Rhinolophus ferrumequinum: one gene and its partners. The protein of the gene in region 3 purifies or fractionates together with the protein of the main gene of each other region. This does not show direct contact. Links are inferred from orthologs where the notes say so. Each region holds a gene or a part of one and is shown on either strand. Other genes may lie near its edges.

Region 1 (7,222 bases), on a different chromosome or scaffold from region 3:
TTGGGAACCCAAGGACTGTGGAGGGCTGGGAGGGAGGGAGGGAGGGAGGGGGATCTCTGGAACACGTGCGGATTAAATAACTGTGACGTTTAAAAAACATTCTCTGAAATACAGGGTCTGGAGACCCTCTGGGTAGGTGAACACACAAAGGTGCTGGGAGAGCGGCGCTTGGAGAGGGCATGGAAGCTCTGCACCCCTTCCCCATACCTTGCCCTCTGTTCCATCTAGCTGTTTCTGAGTTATAACTTTTATAATGAACAGATAATAATAAGTAAGAGCTTTCCTGAGTTCTGTGAGCCATTCTAGCAAATTATTGAGCCCAAGAAGGGGTGATGAGAACCCCTGATTTTATAGCCAGTTGCTCAGAACTGTAGGAAGCACAGACTTGCAAAGTCCCTATCTGAAGTGGGGACAGTCCTGTGGGGCTGAGCCCTGAACCTGTGGGGTCTGGACTAACTTGGAGCAGAAAGTGTCAGAATGGAGCTGATCTGCAGGACATCTGGCGGGTGTTAAGAGTTGGAGAATTGGTTGGTGTGGGGAAAACCCACACTTAGTGTTGGAAGTATATAGCAATGGAAACAGAGTGGCTTACTTGTAGGTTTCATCCCGGATAGGGTCTGGACCAGGGGTACCCCATGGAGGCGGAACATAGGAGAAGCCTTGTGGGTGGGAAAAGGGTGTGTGTGCAGTGAAGCCTATGCTTTTGTGTCTGCCTGGGTTACAGGCATGCTGTGTGCAGTGTGTCGGGGGGCAGTTCCCACCAGGAGGGCAGAACCAGGCTCCCAAAGACCAGGCTGTACCCTATGCCTGCCACCCCATGAGGGGTTCTATTTCATATATCCATGAGTCCATGTCATGCTCCAGAAAGGCACAGCCCTCCCAGCACCCCCAGAGCCAGCAGAGCCCACACATACATGGAAAAGCACGCCAGGGAGCCCCGTGCACACTACATTCCAGCCCACCCACCGGAAGACCCAACACTAGGCTCCATGCATTGACTAATATTCGGATGGACAGAACCTAAGATTCTCTTAACCTCAGAATCTCCATCCTATTACAAGCCATCAGAGAACCTGGAAGTCAGTCTCAGGATCTCAGGATCAATCTTGGACAATTGGAGTCAATTTCAGAACCTTCCAATCTAACTCAGTACCTCGAGATCACACTCAGAAGCATAGGAGAGTCTCAGAACCGCAAAGCACTAGAGTCAATCTCAGACCTTTCAAAACAGTTGACAGAAGCTTGGGGCCATCTCAGAGCCTCAGGCTCAAAGGGACCTCCAAGACTGTTCATCTGGCCCCTTTCCAGGACAGAAGTCACCTCCACAGCCTCCCTGACTTGGCTGCCAGCCTCTGCTATGAGCGCCCTTGACAGGGATGCTTGGCCCTGCCCACCACTCCCCTCTGCTGGATAAAGGCTCTAGAAATTCAGAATCATTTTCCTATCCAGAGGCTGAAATCTGCCCCCGCTGGTCCCAAAGATTTCAGGTTTAGACCCCTGTTGCCTGGATCTGCCTTGCCCCAGACTGCCCTAGTGTTGAGTCCCTCTGACAGCTTCCAGACCCCCACCCTACCTACTGAACACCTTCACCCCCAACAGTTACCTGCTTATGCATTTCAACGTTGAGCCCATAGGACATCTCATAGTACTGCAAAGGAAAAGCCAGTTGGCAATGTCCACGGTGCCGACGGATGTCCAGCCCTGTGCTGGGTGACTCTGGGTCTTCAGGAGCCCTCAGGCTGGGGTGGTCACCTCAGGGCACAGATCATCCCAACCCCATGGGGACCCCCTAGGGAGAAGCAGGTCACCCTTCCACTCTCTCCAGGAGGTGGGGCAGGTGGTGGTGCTGAGACCCTGGCCCAGAGATGAGGAGAAGAGACATTCTTGTCTCATTGTTCTTAAGAGCTGGGAGGGTCCTGGGAGAAACAGCCTGGAATCCCAACCAGCCAACTTTACAGATACGGAAAATGAAGCCCCAAGAGGGGCAGGGACTTACCCAGAGTGGCCCAGTGAGTTGGGATTCACAACCCAAGTGTTTTCACTCCTGGCCAAGCCCTGTGCCCCACTCCCCCCACCCTGACATGCTACCCTCCTCACCATGACATAATGTCGCTGCATTTCGGTCTTCTCACTGGCCAACTTCTCACATTCCAGCTTGAGGCTGGGAAGGAGAAAGGGCATGGGTACCCCACTCTCCATGACCCCCAGAGGGAGACTCAGGGAAACCGGGACACCCCACGGATACCCGCTTTGGGCCAGTTTCCAAAATGATGGGTTTGACACTCCTCCTCCCCACTTCTTTACACCCCCACCCTCCACCCCCGCCTTCCCAGACTCAAAATGTCCAAGCACCCACTGTCCCCATTTCCCTCACCCTGCGCTTCCACCTGGAAGCTCTCCCCTCACCTCTGGGGGCCAGCCCTACTCCCAGCACCCTGGAGGCCCCGCCCCCGCCTGGCCCGGTCCCACGCGCCCCGCCCCTCTCCCTGAGCTCCCAGGTGAGCTCGCAGGTGAGCTTCCCGGTGCCCCAGGAGGGGCGCCCCGCCCCCCCTCACCTATGATACTGAGCCTGAAGGAACTGGAATTCCTCTTTGATGCGGTCGCAGATCTCCAAGATCGAGAACTTGAAGGGCTGACCGGACTGAAGCGGGGTCTGGGGGGGACGTCTGAGGTCTGAGTTCCCGGGCGCTGGGTCCCCCACCCCCGCAGCCCAGGCCCCCACTCACCGGGTGCCTTCCCTGAGGGTACATCCTGTCGATCTGGGAAGCCCCCCTCGCGCCGGAGTGTGACAATGTGGGGGGGTCGAGGCGAGGGGGTGGGAGAGAGAAAGAGGCTGGGGGCGGGGGTCTGCCCGGAGAAAGAAGACGGGGGGCGGGCGGCGTGGGGCAGAAGACCCTGGAGTCCCCGCGTCCCCCAATCGTGCGCGCAGGGTCACGAGGACGGAGAGGGACAACGAGGACCCCTCCCCTGGGCAGGGGCGCTGGGCGGTGGGCGCAGAAGGTCGGCGAGCCGCGGCCGGGTGTCGGAGGCGCGGGCGGCGGGCCCCGCGCGGAGCCGCCTCCCTCCGGCGGGGCTCGGCCGGGAGCCGCGGGCTGAGCTGCCTTAAGGTGGCGCCGCCGCCCCCCAGGCCCGCCCACCCGGCCCGCCCGCCACCCACCCTGCTCCCCCCCCAACCTGGAGCCGTAGCTCCGGAAGCCCACCCGTCCCTTCGACCAGTGCCCAGTGGAGAAACTGAGGCTCGAGTCCAGCCCCACAAACATCGTCCCCGCTCACTCCCTCCCTCCCCAGGGGGCCCCAGAGAAAAAAAAAGCAAGGAAACAAATACCTGGCGGCCCACGGTGGGGAGAGCAGTTTGTGGTCAGAAATGGCCTTTCTGAGGATGTGGGCTAAGACTTAAGGATAAGGAGGAAGCAGCCTTATCAAGTGCTGGCAGGGAAGCCTTCCCCCAGGAGAAATGAAATAGCAAGGGGCAGAGGCCCAGAGGAGGGCAAGAGGTGGGGGGCCCAGGCAGGCTCTCCCCCACACTGGGCCTCAGGATTCTCTGAAAAGGGCAGAGGCAGGGGCTGTTTTTTACGAGATGGTACATGCACAGCCCTCAGCCGGGCTTGGCTCACAGTATGGGAGTTGGTGTTCCAACTGCCACAACCAGCAGACTGTAGGCTCTGTGTTTCTCCGAAAATAAGACCTACCTGGACAATCAGCTCTAATGTGTCTTTCGGAGCAAAAATTAATATAAGACCCGGTCTCATGGCTAGGTCTTATTTTCGGGGAAACGCGGTAGAAGGCAGAAGTCCCAGTGAGAATGGGAACGGAATCTCTGCCTTCAGACTGAAGTCTCTCTGAGGGCAGGGGCTCCAACCCCCACCATGGACCTCAGACATCCAGCTACTGTCCCTCACATTCACCTGGGAGATGGGATGTTCTTATTCCCATCCTGCGTGTGAGAAACCTCAGAGTCATTCATTAAGGCAATCAACAAACACGTACTGGGTGCCTACTCTGGACCAGACCCTGCTCTCGGCACTGGGGCTCTCAACAGGGAACAAAACAGAGAAAACCTCTTGCCAGGTGTTAATGTCCACACCCATGTCAGTAATTGTGTGAGTGACAATGTACAAAAGTCCTTAAACTTAAAAGCATCACTTTCCAGTCAACAAATTTATTGAGCATCTACTATATGCCACACATCCTCCCAGGCATACAAGAGTGGATGAAGGAGAATGGATTCCTGCCTTCTCTCAGTTTGCGAGACAAGATCACAGCTTGGTAATGATGGAATTATTTGTGTGCACAAGAGAAGAGTTTAGGGAGCAGTGGAAAAGGTTGACAAGAGGGAACCTACTTATCTGGGGTGTCTGGGAAAGGCCTCTTTGAGGAGGTTAATGTTGGACATGAGACTTGAAAGATAAAGAGAGGAAACCATGGGAGGGGAGGTAAAGAGAGATCCAGGGAGTGTTATCTGTGTGTGTGATGAAGGGAGAATTCAATGATTTCCTATTGCCTTCAAAATAAAATCCAGACTCTTCCCTCTTCCCACAAAGCCCTGCACAAACCCCCTCCCCACGGTCCCCATCTTGATCCTAACTCCCTTCACTTTCACCCTCATTCATTCTGCTCCAGCCATTCTCTGTTTCTCCAACTCTCCAGGCACAGTCCTGCCTCAAAGCCTTTGCACTGACTGTTCCCTCTACCTGGAACACTGGTCCCCTTGCTTCTCATCATTCAGGTCTCAGCTCAAATGTCACCTCCTCATAAAGTCCCCTCCTGGCCACCCATTGAAGCAGCATTCACCCACTCTACCTTGTTGTTTTTAAACACCGCATCCTATTCTCTCTTTCTAGGTCCTAACAGAGTTTTTATTTTTGACATGATTATGTTTCTTCGTGGGTTGTTCTAGTCATTATTTGTTTTCCCCTAGTACTAGGCTGTGTAGGGACAGAGCCTGTCTTGGTCCCTGCAGAGCTGGCCCACAGTAAGTGCTCAATAAAAAAACGGGCCTTGGGATGAGAAGAAAGAGCTGATGCAGCTAAAGGTGGTAATCACTGGCCCCACTCCTGCTGGGAAATTTTCAGAAGCAGGGAGTTCCAGGATTCCACAATGCTAGGAGATTGTGATTCTGGTTCTGGGGGGAGAGGGTCTGTGAAGTCCTCAAAAACTTTTTCCAGGCAGCCTTTCTTCCCCCTGTCCCCATGCCCTCCTGAACACTCATGAGAATGGCTGCACGCTCTGGGTCCACCCCTGGCCCCTACCCTGAGACCCAGCCCTGTGGGTGCAGCCACCAAATGGATGTCCCCCCTGGACACCCCCAGGTCATTAGACAAAGCATCTTCCCCAAACCTGTTACACCCCACAGCCCACCCTGACCCCCCCAAGATAGAGCATCAGCCTAGCCTCTTCTTTCCCCCTCACCTGCCATGCAACTCTGCTCCCCTTCCCAACAACCCCTGCCTGTACCAACCCTTCATCCTCCGCCATCTGGATCTCAAGCCAACTCACTGCTCTGAACAGCCTTCACTCTCATCACCTTCCTTTGAGTCTGGCCCTCCCTCACTCAAAGCCCTCCCATGGCTCCCTATTGCCCTTGGGACAAATTCCCAGATCTTCAGGTTAGCATGGATACCCTTCACCTCCTGGCCTGACCCAGCTTCACCTCCCTCTACCAGTTCAAACACTCCCTCTGCTCCAGCCACGCCAGCTGGATTACTTAATCTGTGTTCTTTCTCACCTCTGGGCCTTTGCTTATCTCTTCCTGGAATTCCCTCAGCTCTTTTTCTGCCTGCTCGAAATCCCTTCCTTCAGGGCCCAGCCCAAATGGCACCTCCTCCAGGCATCTTCCCCTCCGCACACACATTGAATACAGACTGTCTAAAGTTGATATTTATTCAATAACCACCTTCTCATGCTGGAAGATGCTGGGGCCTTAGGAAGGACCCGGCCTCAGGCTTTGCTGGGAGGGTTCCCAGGGTAGCTGGATGGGGAGAGACAGAACTGAGGACACACTCCAGGGCACACGTAGTCAATGCCAGAACAGGGGGACAGATCCAGGGCGGAAGCACCCCGAGGGAGATGGAACAGGGTCTCTGCCTATGGAGTCAACAGGAGGCTTCCTGGAGGAGGGAACCTTTACCTACCAGTCTTTAGATTTCTCAGCCAGGCACACTCCACTGAGGAGAGTAAATACAGATTTGTGGATTGCCTGAGAAGCCACAAGACCACACACACACATACACACACACACCATCTCTTGTGTGTGAGATCTGCCAAAAAGGAAGAGATGGTTTGCTCTAAGCAGTAGCAACCTCAGCTTGGGAGCAGCTCTGAGAATTTGGGAAGGCTCAGCTAAGAGTAGTCTGTGAGTTAGGAGGACCCTTAGGAAGCCTGTTACTCCATAACTCGCTGAAGTCCCACATTCACCCAGAGCAGGAGGCAGGGAAAGGCCTGGCAAGGCCTGAGTTACAGCCTGGGCAGTCTAGCACAACCTTCTCAATTCCCCAGCTAACTCGTTTGCCATGGTGCTGGTGGTGGGAGGCTCGCTTCAAGCTCCATCTCTCTGGGCCTCAGTTTCCCCATCTGCAAAATCCAGGAAACTGCAAAATGGAGGAAGGGGCTTAGTTTCCGATTTCTCCCCTCCCACTATACAGAAAGGCTCAGCCCCGGTTCTTGGCTGGGTTTTTATGCTGTGGATGTGGTTTATTTATTTATTTATTTATTTTAAAGGAAAAAGCTGAGAAGCAGCGCTGGGACCCGGGATTGCTCAGACCACCTTAAATCAGCCCCGCAGTCCCAGCTACTGTGGAAATTCCTTTCTCTGTGGTGGTTGGCTGAACGCGCCAGCCAATCCGCCCACGGTGCTCCCACATGGGTCCGTGACGTCACAATGGGCGCTGGCCAATGGGAATCATGGAACTGGCAACCAATAACGGGCGGCACTAAGATCGTCTAGGCCAATCGGAAGGCGGCGAGGCGCTCCCAGCGGGATATGCAGAGTGTAGCTTCTTCCTCCCTAAGAGAGGCTGAGACCCTCGTGTACGCCCCAGCCTGGCTAGGTTAGAGTGAGGGATCCAGTTCGATTACTATCCAAAAACATAGCAGCGAGCCACCCCGGGAGCCTGGTAGGTCTCCCCTTAAAATCAAGAGCCCCTCGCCCAACAAATTACCTTGCAAAACCCCTCTCAGGGAGCGGGGTCGACTGGGCGCCTTTCGCCCTATTTCACCGGTAGCT
Region 2 (7,887 bases), on a different chromosome or scaffold from region 3:
AACATGTAAACGGGACAAAAGTACTACCCCTGTGATCAGTGGTTCTCAAACTCTGACTCTGTGAGTCAACAATCCTGAGGCACTTATTTAAAATACAGGTTCCTGGGCTGCCGCCACCCACCCCGCCCCCAGAGATGCTGATTCAGTAGGAACTGGGTTTTTTAACAAACACCCCAGGAGATTCAGAATCAGGTGGTATAACCACTTTTGAGAACCTCTCTCTCAGCCCCCACACATTGCAAACATCTTACGCTTCCCCAAATGAAACGACTTGAATATTCTCAATCAAACCACAAAGAGAATAAAGTATAAGCTAAGGAGAACACAAACACTAAAACCTTGGAGCGCATCTCCATGACAGTCTACCAAGGGAATCACAACAAGAAAGTCCTTTCTTCGGGGTTGTCATGTGCTCATCTGACACAGACAAAGAACTGTGGCGATGGAGGGGCCTTTGAACTCCCCTCATTCTATGGCCCAGAGAGTTGCAAGCTGGGACTTTCTGCAACTTGCCTGCGGTCCCACAGTGTCCTGTCCAGCACTCCAAACCTTGGCTGCCCAACTCTTGCCCAGAGGATCCTTCCACCAGAGCAGTTAGAGGCGTAGAAAGTGTTTCCTACCCAGACAGACACAGAACAAAGAATACAAGCTATCTCACCAATGGACTGCTGAAGGACTCGCTGCTCGTCCTCCTCCTCTGCCTCCTTTTCCAATTCATTCAAACTTTCCTTTGAGGGCAGGATGCCCTTTTTGCGTAAGATGTCATTCCACTCGGTGTCTGCGTTGGGGTCCTAGAGCAGTGGGACCAAGGATACCATGAGAGCAACGTCCACTATGGAGGGTGCCACGTTGGGCAAGGGGTCAAATGGGAAAGGTGGTGGGAAGAAAGTTCAAACCAAGTCATTCTATGTCGCTTCTAAGAAAGTGTCAAAAGATCCACAGCCCCTGTTACATTCTTCCTGTCACTTACTCAAAGCTCCCAACCCTACAGTAGAGCTAGTACTGGGGTAAAAACTAGGATCTGATGCACAGGCTCTGACCTGATGTTTGCTCAATATTTTTATTAATGACTTGGAGTGATTCATTCAACGGGTATTTATTAAGTACCTAGTATATGTACCAACTATAAGTAAATTACTGCACTAGATGGTAGGGACGCATGGTGCCAGAACCATCTATTTTAATCAAGAGGAAGAGACAAGCAATGAACAATGAAATATACTAACAGATATATAATACAAATTGTAAGTGCAATGACCAACAGGCTGCTGACCTAGTTACAGGGGGCCCGCATTCCACAGGATGGGCAGAGACGCTCTCTCAGAAGAGGTGACATTTAACCATCACTGGAAGGTGAAAAGGAACCAGACACGAGGAGAACTTAGGAAATTACTTCCCAGGTAGAGGGACCAGCACGTGCAAAGTGCCCAAGAGCAGAAATATTGAGCATCTCAAAGTCATGAGTGGCTGCGTTAGAATCAGAGGGAGGAGAGCCTGATGCCGGCTGACAAACCCTCTAATGGCCAAACCTGAGAGCTGAGACCCCAGTGGAATAGCTCACAAGGGCTAACACTTACTGAGTACTACGTGCTGGGAACGCTTCTAAGTCCTTTACCTGTACCTGCGGGACATGGCATTTAGGAAGTCTGCTGTGCTGGACGGAACAAGACGAATTTAACCAAGATCAAATGTCAGAAGGATAAATGTCGAAGTGGGCTCTTAGCTCCAGAACCCAGCCAGCCAAACACTGGTTTTGCATGGCTTGGCAGGAACACTGCTAAGGGACCTGGTTTGAAACATGAAATCAAGGAGCACCGAGGAAAGGGCACTGACCTAGCCAGGCTCTAGCCCCAGCTCCGAGTCTTGCTGAGATATTTTAAAAGAAAAAAAAACAGAATTCTTTCAACAGGGAAGGCCTCTGAAGAGGTGACATTTTTAAGAAGGGACAGAAAGGACAGAGAATGCAAAGGAGGCCCGGGCAGCCCTGGAGCTTCCTCATCATTTAAGCGTGTCTGGCTTGTGGCAGACACATTGTATTTGCAATGACCATCCTCTCCAGGCCCGGATACCTTCTGGCCCAAACGAACCCACACGAACTCCATTTCCCACTTGCCAACAAGCCAGAGAGGATTCAGCCACAGCGAGATCTGGGAGGCGGGAGAAAGACCTTTGGAAGAGGGTCCTCGCACAGTGACAAAATTCAGTTGTCAGATTTTTGCTCATAAAAGCATCCATTTTTCATGGTGTCTCCATTCATTTTTTTTCACTTTTCTTTGGGTTTTCATCAAATTCCATTAGCACATTCCAGAGACAATAAAAGGACAAAACTAGGGGATCTAGTTTTCTTCATTTTAAGACTGAAAGTAACTGGGTAGAGGGACCCTCGGGCTCAGCTCTGGAGGTCAGGTGAGCGCACCTCAACCTGAACACGAACACGGGCGGGAGGAGGGTGTAACTAACCCCTCCCCGGGCTCTAAGTGGAGTCAGGAACACGGATTCCGCCACTTTCGTGTTATGGAACCCTCGACAGGACTCTTCACTTCTCCCAGCTTCCCGATCCATGCAACGGTTCCGTAACACACCTGCTCAGGTGTTAGAGTTAACAAGTAGGAAGTAACTTTGCCAGGTGGGATCCGACCTCAAGGAGGGGTAGCCCCCAAGGATGGAGATCTGGGGGGTGGACCACACAGGGGTGGGAACGCCCAGACGGCGGCACCACGCCCACCCCCCCTCACTGCGTCTGCGCCGGGCCTCGACTCGCGTGGCCTGTCGGTGCCTGTGGCGTCCGGAGCTTCCCGCGGCCCGGCCGGGACAGTCCGCCGCCGCCGCCGGGGACCCAACGGGGCAAACGAGCGGCCGCAGTCTCCAGGTCTCGTGCCCCCGGCTTGCTCACCTGCATCTTGTCGCAGATAACTCAATCCAGGCGGGCCGCGACGCCACCGCCCCTCACTCTCTTCCGCGCACGCGCACAGCCGCCGCCCCGCCTCGTCTCTCAGCCCAGCTTCGGCCCCGCCCTCCAGGAGTGAGCTGGGCGGAGCCAGGGAGGGAGCGAGGCCTCTGAGTGCGTCCTCTCCTGAAACCGGCGCAGAAGCTGTGCGCACGCGCGAGACAGGACACGCCTACCGTCGGTCGGGGCAGCAAAATTCACGTGACCCGGAGCCAAACCTGGGCGCAACCTTATTAGGGTAGGTCAATCGCCTTGGGTTAGTGGGGCTGGGTGGGGGAGGTACCCAGTGCCAGTGCGCCTTTTTCAGCCTTATACCTAATTGTGTAGAAAAGGTCTCTGCCCAAGAAGTCAGAAATAGAAATGTTTCAGTGACCCAGTGTTACAATTAAAAACGATGCAGGGTGACCTGGAATTCACTATGATTTCAGCGTCGGATAAGGCAGTTCATTCATAAGACACATATTTATTGGGGGCTTGTTTTATACCCGGCTCTGTTCTAGGCTCTGCGGACATGGCAGTGATCGCACCAGACAAAACCAGAAAGGTGACAAGTCATTTACCTAGTTGAGCCTCAGGTGATTCATATTCGTAAAAGTGCCCGACCTATAGGGGCACACAGTAGGCACTGAATAAAATCAGCAGAGTCTGAATTGTCAAATGCAGGTGCTGGGCTCCAGGCTTCTACCTTAAGACATCTGGGCTGGTGTTGCCGTCTTGGAGATTTTCTGTCCTCCGCCCTGGGCCAAACCTCTATACTATGGAGGTTCTGACCACACAAGGCTGCGGCCACTCCCAAGCATGTCCCCAGTATGGATCTTCTGCGGTACAGATCCAAGGAAGATGAGATCTGAAATTCACTGGTTGCCAAACCTACCCAGCTTCAGCCCTGGGAAGCTGGGGGACATGGGAGCTGTCATTCACCTGTTGAACCCATAAGAGCATATGTACTGCAACGGTTGAGCTATGTTGGAAAGGGAGGTTTTCCTCTTCAGCGGTGCGGTGAGCTGCCACTCGGTTGCTGAGCTCACTGGGACAGTTCTTCCATAAGGTAGAGCCGTGGGACATGGATGCAGTCCCTAGCTTCAGTACCATGCATTTCCACTGTTCTAAGTTTCCACAGATTTTGTGGAATTAGTGTTTCTCAGTTTGTTGTACACCCTTTGGTCAATCTCTAAAGATTTTGAATGGTTGTCTTTGTTAATCTTGACCAGCTTAATAGGTGTCTCTCTTGGGGAATGGTTTCCCTGAACACCTCATGCTACCATTCTGGAAGTCCTACCTGGGGTAACTTGTTACACAGCAATAGATCAATAGATAACAAACACAATGGCCAAGCAAGGAGGTAGAACTTAAATTAAGACCAGCAACCAGTTAGATGGAGAGCAGCTAAGGCCTTTCAAGTAGGAGAAACAGAAAGTACAAAAGTATGGGTGGTGGAGGCACTGAGGAATATTTGAGTTAGAGAAGTGGTTCTCCAAATGTGGCCCTTGCACCAGCATCGTCAGTATCACCTGGGAACTCACTAACAATGTGACTTCTTGGGTGCCACTCTACCCTACTGCACTGATCTCTAGGGATGGAGCGCTGCAACCTGAGTTTCAGCAAGTCCTATAGGTGTTGCTGAAGCACACTGAAGTTTGAGAACCACTGGAATGTAAGAGCTGTTTTTCACCATCTGTAATAGCTGGGCTCTGTGTGTGTCCAGATTCTAGGTGGTTTCCCTATTTTTTTATAAGTAATGAGATAAGGAGCCAATAAATGCGTTCTCTTAGCGAATGCTTTAGGGCCTTATTAAAGAAAACTGCTCCCCAACACCAGTCCCATGAAGCTGGTCATGCTTTGCTGGAAATAAGTCACCTCCGATTTTAGCCTGAATTTTATTTAGTTCCAGTTGCTTTAATGAACCACCCTGCAGTTGTCCTGCACATGCCACCTTAGGCTTTGTAGGACTTTGCTTCAGGGTGTGGTTGACGGTCACAATGGCAAAGGGAAATGTGGACCTTTGGCTCTAGTGCAATTTAAAAGGGAATATTTAAACTTTGGCTAAACCCAGTTAACTGAAAGAACTGAAATGTATCCAGGACTGAAAGAGTGAAAATCAACTTGGACTGAAAAAAAGAGTAAAAGCAGCCCTGCTATTCGTCAGGCTGGGAGGACAGACTCAGATAAAGCCAAATGCAGAGTTCACAGAGAACAGCCCTTCTCCTAAGGTCTGGCCGCAGCTGTAAAATGCCATAACATGCCCACTTGGAATGACCACTGCTTTCTTACCAATGAGGCCCCATAGACTTGTTTTACTGCACCCATTTTTTACAAGGGACTCCCAGATGCTGAGCCTGGCTCACGATGGTGTACAACCCTTAGAGAGTCCCCAGTTCTCCTATTTCTGTCTTGGAAATTGCAACCAGTGCAGAACTGACCCCCACTTCCTTTGGACCCTCCTGAGATCCTTCGGGAGGAGCCATGACCTTACAAATCTCCTCCCTCTGACAGCGCAGTGCTTTGTGGCTCCGCGGAGCCTCCCTCACTGCATCAAGTCCGTAAGTCTGATTTTGTTGGACTCCAGGCGTCTCCCAGGTGGTCTTTGTCTGATTGAGCTTTAACAGAAGGAAAATGGCCTGTTGGCCTATATTTGGAGGAGGAGTGGTGGTGACATTTGTTTATTTGTTTGTACTTGACTTGATTCCCAATTTTAGATCCCAGGTCACGGAAAGGAACCCAGAGGACTGACTGTCCGTGAAATTGCCCGTGATTACTTCTCATCACATTTCAAATCAGTCCCTATCTTTGGCTCCCCATAATTATTAGGTATTTTCTTGTCAGAGCCCTACGCAAAGATCTAATATTATCAGTCATGCATCCAGCACAGCAATCTTTCATCGCATCAAATATAATCTCTAAAGTTATTAATAATACTGACATTCTCCACCTAAGAAACTTGCACCAATAATTGCAACAAACGAGTTGAGAGCTTTGTGACTTGAATAATGCAGTCTTTCTGATGTATTAAGCTAGTATATTACTTCACTACCTTGAATGTGGACTAGGCACTCACCTTTTACATGTTCCGTTACTCATCCATTCACTCAAACATTTTTCAAGAGCCTGACTGTACTTCGTACGCTGTCCTAGGTCTCCAAACTTACAATGAATTAGACAAGGCCCCTGCCTCCAGGAAGCTTGCACTGTGGTTGGGGAGAGAACCAGGGGCAGCCAGAGTGAAGAGATGTAAAGCTCTGTTGATGAAGAGGTCCAGAGCTCCAAGCCCAGAGTGTCAGACAGACGTCTACAGGGGCTTTGAGGCAAACCTGGATGACACGGGACATGAGACAGAGAGGAGGACCAAGAACAAATTCCCAGATCCCTCGAGGGAAGGGGGAGTGCCGCCAGGATGTCTGCAGATGACAGCACTGAGGAAGGGTAGGATGGCTTAGCGGGAGGAAACGAGTCACCAAGAAGTACGATGTTTGGGGGGAGGTGGGGGACAATTGGCCTGGAATACTTACGGCAGGGAGGAGGCTCTCCCCTCTAGGCACCCTGGGGCGCCTGGTGTTCTGGACCCTGAGCAGCGTCTCCCAGGAAGCGTCTCCTTCTGCCATCCCCAGGAAGTCCTCAGGAAGGAGCAAGGAAGTAGGGGTACAGCATTTAAGGATGAGACTGCCAATAAAGAGTGGTTTTTATCCCGGTCCAAAAGTCTAGAGAGCTCGTAGGGAGGGGTGGCCCTGGAGGAGAGGGAGGCAATGAAAGAATGGCTAGAAGGACAATTCTGGGGCAGCAAGCATGGTGCTTATCTGCTCTTGAGTGGAGGCTATAGCCGCTGGCAGTGTGTACCATGGCCAAGTATGTGGGTGGGGTCCGCGGGGTTGTGCTGTTTTGAGGAGTCCTAATGGCTGAGTCACAGGGCCGGGTTGTCAGTCTGAGCAGCTAGCAGTGTGATTGGCCTGGGTGGGGGGCTCAAGGCCTTGGTAGGTCAGCCACCTTGTCTAAAGTCCTGAGGTTGAGGCCAGAGGGGGCTCAGAACCCCCTGGAGTGTTCTGGCTGCCCCGAGAAGCATCTCAAATACATCAGATGGCAATCCCTCCATTAGCATCAGCACAAGCCATTCTCCTGCTTGGCAGCAAGCCATAGTAGGGCCGCACAGAAATCTCACTGAGCACCTACTATGTGCTGAGCGTGTGTTAAGCTCTGTATGTAAAACACTGGCCTAGACATTTGGGATCCATGCCCTCCTGTCCTCATGGTGTTTTAATGTCTGGGAGAGAAGACAGACATTAAATCAGAAACTATAAGAGCAGTGGGTGGTACGAGGTCAAGTGCAGGTTTCAGGAGGAGAATGTTCAGGGAAATCTGCCTTGTGTGGGTCAACAGAGTTCTGTTGAGAATCCCCTGGCTCAGCTGGATTAGAGAAGTGTAGCCCCCCAGTGTGCTACCCCCACCAACCGCAGGGGAAGAGGGTGAACAGCCCAAGTCCACTCACGCACCCAGGATCCAGAAGAATTTCAAAGCAGTTCTTGACTTCAGATTCCAGCACACCTTCTCGTCCTTTGAGAGAGCGTTCACAGGAATGTTCAGGAATAGAGTCTCTTTACTGTTCAGCTTGTCCGTTCTCACCCACACACGGCCTTCACTTCAGTGGCCCAGGGCAGCTGCTCACGTCTGACCCTTCTTGCCGTCGCTGGGCCACAAATCCCTCTCCTCCAGACCCTCTCTCTTCCCTCTTCTGCGTAGTCTGGTCCACAGGATCCCACCTCTTCTTCTTGGCCCCCCGTTTCAGAAGACAGCCATTCAGTTCATCCAGTTCCACGCAGACGAGGTGGGGACGGGGGCCCATTGGATCCTGCTGGTGGAGATCTGCCAGCCCCCGACAGGCTTTTGCACTAAGGACCCCTCCTTCCCCCCGCATATCACAGCGTTGGTACTTAGTTCCGTGTTAGTCAGCT
Region 3 (7,600 bases):
CTGTTCAGCATTGAACATTAGGCACTGTCTCGATGGTGAAAGAACCATAAAGTAACATTTGGATTCCTATTTTTCTAAAGATATCTGAATTGCTGATTAAAAACTGGAAGCACTGTACTGGTGTCATTGAACTACGAAATAACTTTCAAAGCCATACTACGTGATCGCCAAAATTCAATTTATATATAATGCTCTCACAGTAAGTTTGAAAGAGCTAGTACATGAAATTCTACTACTGTAACTTTTAAAAGATTAATTTAGAAATTACCATTTGGTCCATATGCTGTACGAGTCGTCTGGGCAAGCTCCTTGCAAGCCTGTATGTTCCTGTACACAGCCTCTTCTAATCCTGAAAAATGCTGTAAAAGAACTTCTTATTAGACGCGACAGTGAAACACAGTAATTTTCTTCATCTGTAAAACGGGGGTAATAATGGTACCTATTCACAGGACTGTTGAGATAATCAAGTAAGATTTGTGTATGTAAAGCATGGTGCTTGGTATTCATAAATGATCCATAAATTTGCTCACTAGTTTAATGAACAAAGCATGACATTTTTAGGGGCCACCAGTACCTATCTACACATTCAAACATAAAGCCTGTAAATTTTTTTTTTTAATGTAGTGGAAAAGTGCTAAGATTAATCAGAGAAAGCATGTGATTTATTTCAGGTAAAAATACCTTTTATCAGTACTTTCTGACTACAAGTTGCAATGTGGTATGAATACTTTTCTAATTGTGTTAGAGCCTGAGTATCATAACGCTAACAGTTCTATGTTCACAGGGAATTCCCATTTAACGTACCTGCCCCCAAATGTTTAGGGACTAAAGTATACAGACTTGAATGGCAACACAATTCCAATGTGTACATACTGAAAAAAATTGATGAATCGCTCACAGCACTAAAATTCTCAAGTTTTATATTGGACTTCTTTTAGACGTGATTTATTTGTGACCTCAGATAGGTTTCATGAGCCTACTGTTCTCCGGACCCTTTTTCTAGAGCTGCTTTGCCTAACATAGTAGCATTAGCCACATGGTTATTTCAATTTTATGTAATTAAAATTAAAAATTCAGTTTCTCAATTGCACTAGCTACAGTTCAAGCGCCCAGTGGCTATATGTGGCTAGTGGACACCATACTGGGCAATGCTGACATACGTTTCCATCATCAGAGAAAGTTCTGTCAGACAATACTGTTCTAGAGCATAAAGTGTGGCTTTTATTACACTCACAAAACTAACTGTGATCCAAACAAGGTTAATAATCACTTCTTTAGAAGGGGTGGACTCTTAGAATAGCATTCAGTCTGATCCCCTGCCCTACACTCTTGCTTCTTCCCCACCTCACCTCCATTCTCGGAGAAACAACCATCTGATTAGAAATCAGATCCCATCAAACCCTTCAATGCTTTTCCCACTAACTCTTAGGATAAATCGTAAATCCTTCCTCAGGGCTACAAGGCCCGACACAACACGTTCTGGCTCTTAGCTACATCTCCTCTAAAATCACCTCTTACTTTCCTTGCCTTCCCTTGGTAAGCTTCCGCCATCACCTTTCTTACTGTTTTAACAGCTCAAACTCATTCCATCCTCAAGGTATTTGTACTTACTGGGCCCTCGGCCTGGAACCCTTTCCCTTTTAATCTTGGCAGGTTCCTTGCGCCACTCAGCACTGACCTAAGAGTTCTTTCATGAACATCTTATTTAATTGCTCTAAGTCTCCGGACTCATGTTGCTCTGGTGGCAGACTTTGCTACTTCCTGTCGTTTTCTACTAGAGTGCTGTTTATATTCTCATCGTTATGTGAAATTATCCTTTTTGCTTGATCAGTCATTATTTCTGTCTCAGAATAAAGCCTACGAAATTTTCAGCCTGACTTTTTAAATAAAGTAAGCAGTAGTTGATGTAGTTTGCAGCAAAGCGGTTTCATCAACATTTACATTAAACCTTAATATTTATTTATACTCACGGTATGCCAAAGTGCATCCCGCCCACAAGAAACTAGTTCCCAAAAACTGTTACCTAAAATTGAACCATGCTGACCTATACTTCCTTAATTAAACACAGGAAATTTGGAGGACAAAAAAGGACCACTATTGGAACAGCCCAAGAGACAAATTTATCAGCAATGCATTAAAATATTTTTTTTTTAATCATGCTCTTTAAATTACATTCAAGGTCTGGCCATAAAACAAAGCAGTTTTATTTAGGCCAGGATGTCACTTACCCTGTGGATTACACAGGTCAGTCTGATAGTTACAACTTAAAGGTACCATCTTTTGGTCCAATCCCCTCAATTTAAAGGTGAGGAAAGCAAGACCTCCAGGGCTAAGTTTTACATCAAGGTAACTAACCTAAGTCTGGCCCAGGACCCATTTGGATTGTCTATCTGTCCTACTATAACGCACTACTTTTACGAAGTAAATGAGGAGCCCGGTTTCTCAGAAGGCTCTTCTTGAAAAGAAGCCGCCAAGAACTGGCCTTTGTTCCTCTCCTCTCCTCTCGAAGGATGGAGTGTAATCCGCCCCGTCTTACGGATGGAGGAGAAATGCACGTTTTAGGCTTGCCCAGCTAGTTAACGGAGGAAGCGAATCCTGCGGCCTCATCCCTAACCCGCCGCCTCCGACCTCTCAACGCTCCCTAGGATCGGGCAAGGGCAGAAATGATCGCGGGCGTCTGTGTCCGAGACCTCCAGACAACACCTCCCTTTCTGGAATCTTCTCTTCCTTAGACCGCTGTCAGGGTGGAGGGTCACACCCGGCCCTTTAGGAGGCCTTTTTCCTTCATTGCGGCCGCCGCAGCGCTACGCCGACTCTTCCACCTTACTCCCCCTTTCTCCATTCCTCACCTTCGCTCCATCCTTGAGCATCTGGGCAAAGCCCGGGGCCTTGGGGACATGAAGCGCCATGACTAGTAAGCAGGTAGCCCTTCACACGCCGGATCGCGAGATCCCAGAAGCAGCGAGGGGCACGCACAGCCTCCTGGGAACGCAGCGTGCCGTGACCCCACGCTCCTCCTCTCTCTCCTGCTAGACCTGCCCCTTTCCCGGCTGCCTCGCGAGATACAGCAGTTCCCGCAGCCAGAACTGAGTTGACGATCCTCGATCAGGTCGATCGATCGAACCGATCGTAGAGCGCGCTTTCAGTCTTCGAGTCTACGCATGCGCAGGCGGCCCAGGTTGTTGAGGCTCGCTCCCGACTGTCCCCACTGTCGAGACTCCGGGGTTGGGACGTTATACTTTTGACATTTCTGACCTGGAAGCCTCGCCTCCCTCCTAATATTAATTTTCAGGTACTCCTCCAGACCCACCCATAACATCAGGGCAGGTGTTTCCTTTTATCCCGAAGCAGAGCATCTGCCCTCATCCGCAAAAATCTATCGTTGGGCGTCTGCTCTGTCTTGGTCATACTAGTAAGAAGTGCTGGGGACGTGAGAGTAATAATTAGTCTGTGAGGATAACTACACAGCTCCTATGTGCCAGGCTCTGTGTTGTTTTCCATGCAGTATCATAGCTAATGGCCAGTCTTAACGAGTTAACTATCATTTTCTCCATTTGGTAGAAGCGGAAACAAGTTTACAAATGATAATTTGTCCAACATCACAGAGTTAGTAATGTCAAAGCTAGAATGCCTACCCAGATCAGACTGACTACAGAATGCACATTTTTAACCACTGTCTATCTTCCTTTTTTTCTGCTTTTGCCTTGAAATACAAATCCCTTTACTCTTCCAGAATCTTAAAACTTGATCGGTGTGTCTTCCCACATCAACACATGGCTGATTTCAAAAAGACTGAATGGTAATGGAGTATTTTACAGAATTATATCACAATGTGAAAGTTATCCCTTCTTGTGGAAAATACAGAAAACATGAAGCAGAACGTTTTGGCTCGGCTTTTGTTCTTTGACTTGAACAGTACAAATTACTATTTTCTTTCGGGACAGATTTTGTGTGCTTTGGGGAATAATCACATGTGTCATGGCTATCATCAGTTATAACTTTTTCCACTTTTTTCTCAAAAAATACATAATTATTAAAATAAAAAAGTGCTTTTTTGCCACCTCAAATGGTATGTGAACCACCTATTGGGAAGCATTCAAAGAAATCAGCGGTTCTCAAAGTGGTTTGGGGACCTCTGAAGTGTGCTAAGACCTCTCAGGGTCCTCCAGGACCAAACTATTTTCATAATAATGCTGGGACATTTGTTCTCATTGTTTCAGTGGAAAATTTGCCAGAGGTTACAGAAGGTGTGTGATTAAAACAGTTTGAATGTAAAAGGCATGAGAAACCAGTTATCTTCTGTTAAACCAAATAAGAGACTTGCAAAAATGTAAAACAATGCCACTCTTCTCTTTTTTTTTGAAAGATAGTTATTTTTAATAAAATATGTTATCATGTGATGAGTTTATTACTGTTATTTTTTAAAATTAATATTAAAAATATCAGTTTTGGTTTATAAAACAATATTGGTAATTATAACCCTCATTAATAAAAGCTATTGAGAATATCAATAATTTTGAAGAGTAAAGGAGTCTTAAGACTGAGAAATGATAGAACCACTGCAATAGGTCAGTCTTGAACAATGATAGAACAACTGAAGATTTTCTCATGATTAGCTAAGAAATAAAACTTATTTACCTGACTTAGAGTATTATTTATAACCCAAAATAAAACTGAAAGGGGTTAAAAATTACACCTGATGAAATTTAATTAATAAAAACTGACTAAGGAATCGAATTTTGATAAAGACCGTGGAAATTTAAACTTGAGGATGAAACAATTGGTGAATCAAATTTCCATGGAAAGTTTATAATAAAAAATTGATCTTACAATTAATTTTAAATAAAAAGGAAATGGAAAGAATTGAAATCAATTAAAATCTGTATGGTAATTTATCAAGAAATTGAATTGATTTAATTGCCAAGAAGAATGATTTTTAGATGAAAATTCATTAATTTTGTATTGCTTGGGTTAAGCTGTCTTCATAGTTATAGAATCAGAGGGTGAAATTTCCACTGGATCCAAATAATAGGCCAAATAATCTTTGCCCAGAAAATAAATACAAATGCTTAACGTGGCTTCGAGGCCTAGGTTTGGTCCCTGCTTATCTCCCAAGTGTCTTCTCCTTGGCCTTCCAGTCTGTCTTCTGCTCACAATAGCCTGAATATTCATCCTGTCTGTTTCACCTCTTCCACATCAGGGCCTTTGCCTCTGCTTTCTCTCTACCTAGAATGCGCTCCCACTCCCTTTCGGCTGAGTTAGTTCTACTTCAGTAAAAAGACCCTTTTGTTAGAAAGCCTTCGATGATTCCTAAGACATTCGCTGTTAGTCATTGTCATAACTTCTCCTTTATAGCACTGATCACAGTGGTAATGACAAAATTATAATCTCAGCTGCTAGGCATGGCATGGAGGAGAGTCTTAAATAATTGTACAATGAACAAATGGATGATCAAATGGGTGTCCAGAAGAGGGCACCAAAGAATTGGGAGGTGTGGTCTCTATTCGTTTCATCCAGATGTACATGCTCTAAAACTAGAGAATATTACAAAGTAATCAAAAGGGTTTGCCCGGGAGTTTGCAAAAGACCAAGGAGACTAGTTTTCTGCTATTTTGATTCAAAAGCCCAGGACTCATGTTAGGTGCCAACTGAAAACATGGCCTTTAGCTGTTTCCTGGAGTGAGGGTGCCTGCCCCTCAGCTCCCTATATTCAGGAGGAACTCCGCTCTTGCCCTGGGTGGGGATGTCTAAGCCATCAGGACTCTGATAACCAGTCACTATTCGTTTCCAGTGATTTTGTTTCTATTTTTCCTCTTTTTTTTTTTGCCACTGTACTTCAGAATTTTTTTATTAATTTATTGGGGTGACAATTGTCAGTAAAATTACATAGATTTCAGGTGTGCAATTCTGTATCACATCATCTGTAAATTACATTGTGTGTTCACCACCCAGAGTCAGTTCTCCCTCGATCACCATATATCTGATCCCCCCACCTTCATCTCCCACCCCCCAACCCCCTTACCCTCTGGTAACCACTAAATTACGTTCAGAATTTTTTGTAATGTTTTAGCCTTGTCTATGTGTTTTACATTTTTTGGTATTTAATTTTGCGAACTCCCATTAAATCTTTAATCTTCTGGCTTTTCTTCCCTTCCCTCCCCTCAATTTGTATTATTGATTTCATATTACTATATCATCTATTTTCACTATTTTTCCATCAAATTTGATTCTTTTTATTGGGTTTTGGATTTTATGACTCATTTTGTGTCAGCTTCTTATTTTACTTCAATTTCTTTTTTGTGTGAAAAATCTCAATTTTTCTTTATAAATATAATTTTTTAAAAAATTGTAATCAAGTTTCTTGGGGCTTAAGAGAACTCCTGTTTCCCTCTCTGAGTTTGGAAACAATTACATGGGAATCAGGCAACTGGGATTCAGAATATCACACGTTGGAGGACATGGCTTAGTGTAAAGCCCAAACATGCTTGTGATTGCTGCTTTGCACTCAATTGGAGTAGAAAAAAAGAAAAGAGGTCATTAGACTTTAAATGGGGTGACTCTGTTAATCTGGAAATAAATAGCCCAAATGAGAGGCAACTAACATTTATTTGGGATCAAAAATAATTGCAGGGAGGGGAGCACAGATTCAGGTAGAAACCCAAATAGTGTCCCAATACAGGGTGAAGGCAGAAGGTTTTTATGAGAAAAGGAAGGGGACAATTACATGAATAGAAAAAGAAATTTCTATTGGTGGTAACAAGCCGAGTTCCTCTTTAGCTATACATGGCTGGTTACCAGTCTATCATCAGAAAGAGACTCCGTGATCAGTCATTGTGATCAAGTGTTTGTTTTCCTGTTGGCTTTATAAGTAGTTGTTTGTAAGACAATGTTGGTTTGGCTCAGTTCAAAGGTTATTTTGCCCAGTTCAAATATTCCCAAGTTTCAAGAAACAAGACGTGCAATATACACTGAGTGCATATAGGCAGATGCAGTATTTGCTGATGTCACTCGTGCCATGACCAGTATGTCTAGTCTCGATTTTCGGTTGTTTAGCTGGAGGTTTCTCCCCTTCCATTAAGAAGATTCCTCTCCTAACATGGGGTAGTTGTGGCCTTAACATAATGTTCTTACACTGCCTTACTTTAAAAACTTCAAGCAAACTGACATGTATCCATTCTGACTATATTAATCATTTGACTGCAGGAGGCCTTAAATCTAAGGTGTTTGGTCCCTCTTTTTTAGAGGCTGAGAAGTCTAAAATCAAGGTGCCAACAAGGTCAGTTTCATTATGAGGCCTTTTATCTTGGCTTGGGGGCAGCCACCATCCTGCGTGTGCAAGATCTCTGATGTAGCACGATGAAATTTCATGCCGTCCTGCTCCATCCTGCCTGGGATGTGAACCATCCCTGTGTCCAGGGTCTCCACACTGTAGACGCTCCCCACCCATTAGTCACTTAGTCTCAGTGATCAGATCTGTTGTCACAGTAGCACGGTGTTCGTGTTCAAGTAACCCTTATGGTAGCCTAATGCTACATCACAATGCCCATGTCATTTACTTCGTCTTATCACATAGGTATTGTATCATCTCACATCACAAGAA

What was found.
Region 1: the proteins of CCT8 (region 3) and TLE2 purify together in Homo sapiens (affinity purification with mass spectrometry; 3 studies listed by BioGRID and IntAct, with this or other methods). This does not show direct contact. The link is inferred for Rhinolophus ferrumequinum from reciprocal best matches to the Homo sapiens genes CCT8 and TLE2.
Region 2: the proteins of CCT8 (region 3) and PDCL3 purify together in Homo sapiens (affinity purification with mass spectrometry; 3 studies listed by BioGRID and IntAct, with this or other methods). This does not show direct contact. The link is inferred for Rhinolophus ferrumequinum from reciprocal best matches to the Homo sapiens genes CCT8 and PDCL3.

Annotation. Positions count from the first base shown.
Region 1 is NC_046301.1:60,197,003-60,204,224, reverse strand, and holds the start of TLE2 (transducin-like enhancer protein 2), read right to left. Parts: upstream 3,055-7,222; 5' UTR 2,751-3,054; coding exon 2,727-2,750; intron 2,654-2,726; coding exon 2,556-2,653; intron 2,162-2,555; coding exon 2,098-2,161; intron 1,649-2,097; coding exon 1,604-1,648; intron 1-1,603.
Region 2 is NC_046296.1:3,918,039-3,925,925, forward strand, and holds the start of PDCL3 (phosducin-like protein 3), read right to left. Parts: upstream 3,025-7,887; 5' UTR 2,900-3,024; coding exon 2,894-2,899; intron 792-2,893; coding exon 659-791; intron 1-658. UniProt on the Homo sapiens protein: Acts as a chaperone for the angiogenic VEGF receptor KDR/VEGFR2, increasing its abundance by inhibiting its ubiquitination and degradation.
Region 3 is NC_046285.1:95,826,401-95,834,000, forward strand, and holds the start of CCT8 (T-complex protein 1 subunit theta), read right to left. Parts: upstream 3,012-7,600; 5' UTR 2,910-3,011; coding exon 2,850-2,909; intron 360-2,849; coding exon 269-359; intron 1-268. UniProt on the Homo sapiens protein: Component of the chaperonin-containing T-complex (TRiC), a molecular chaperone complex that assists the folding of actin, tubulin and other proteins upon ATP hydrolysis.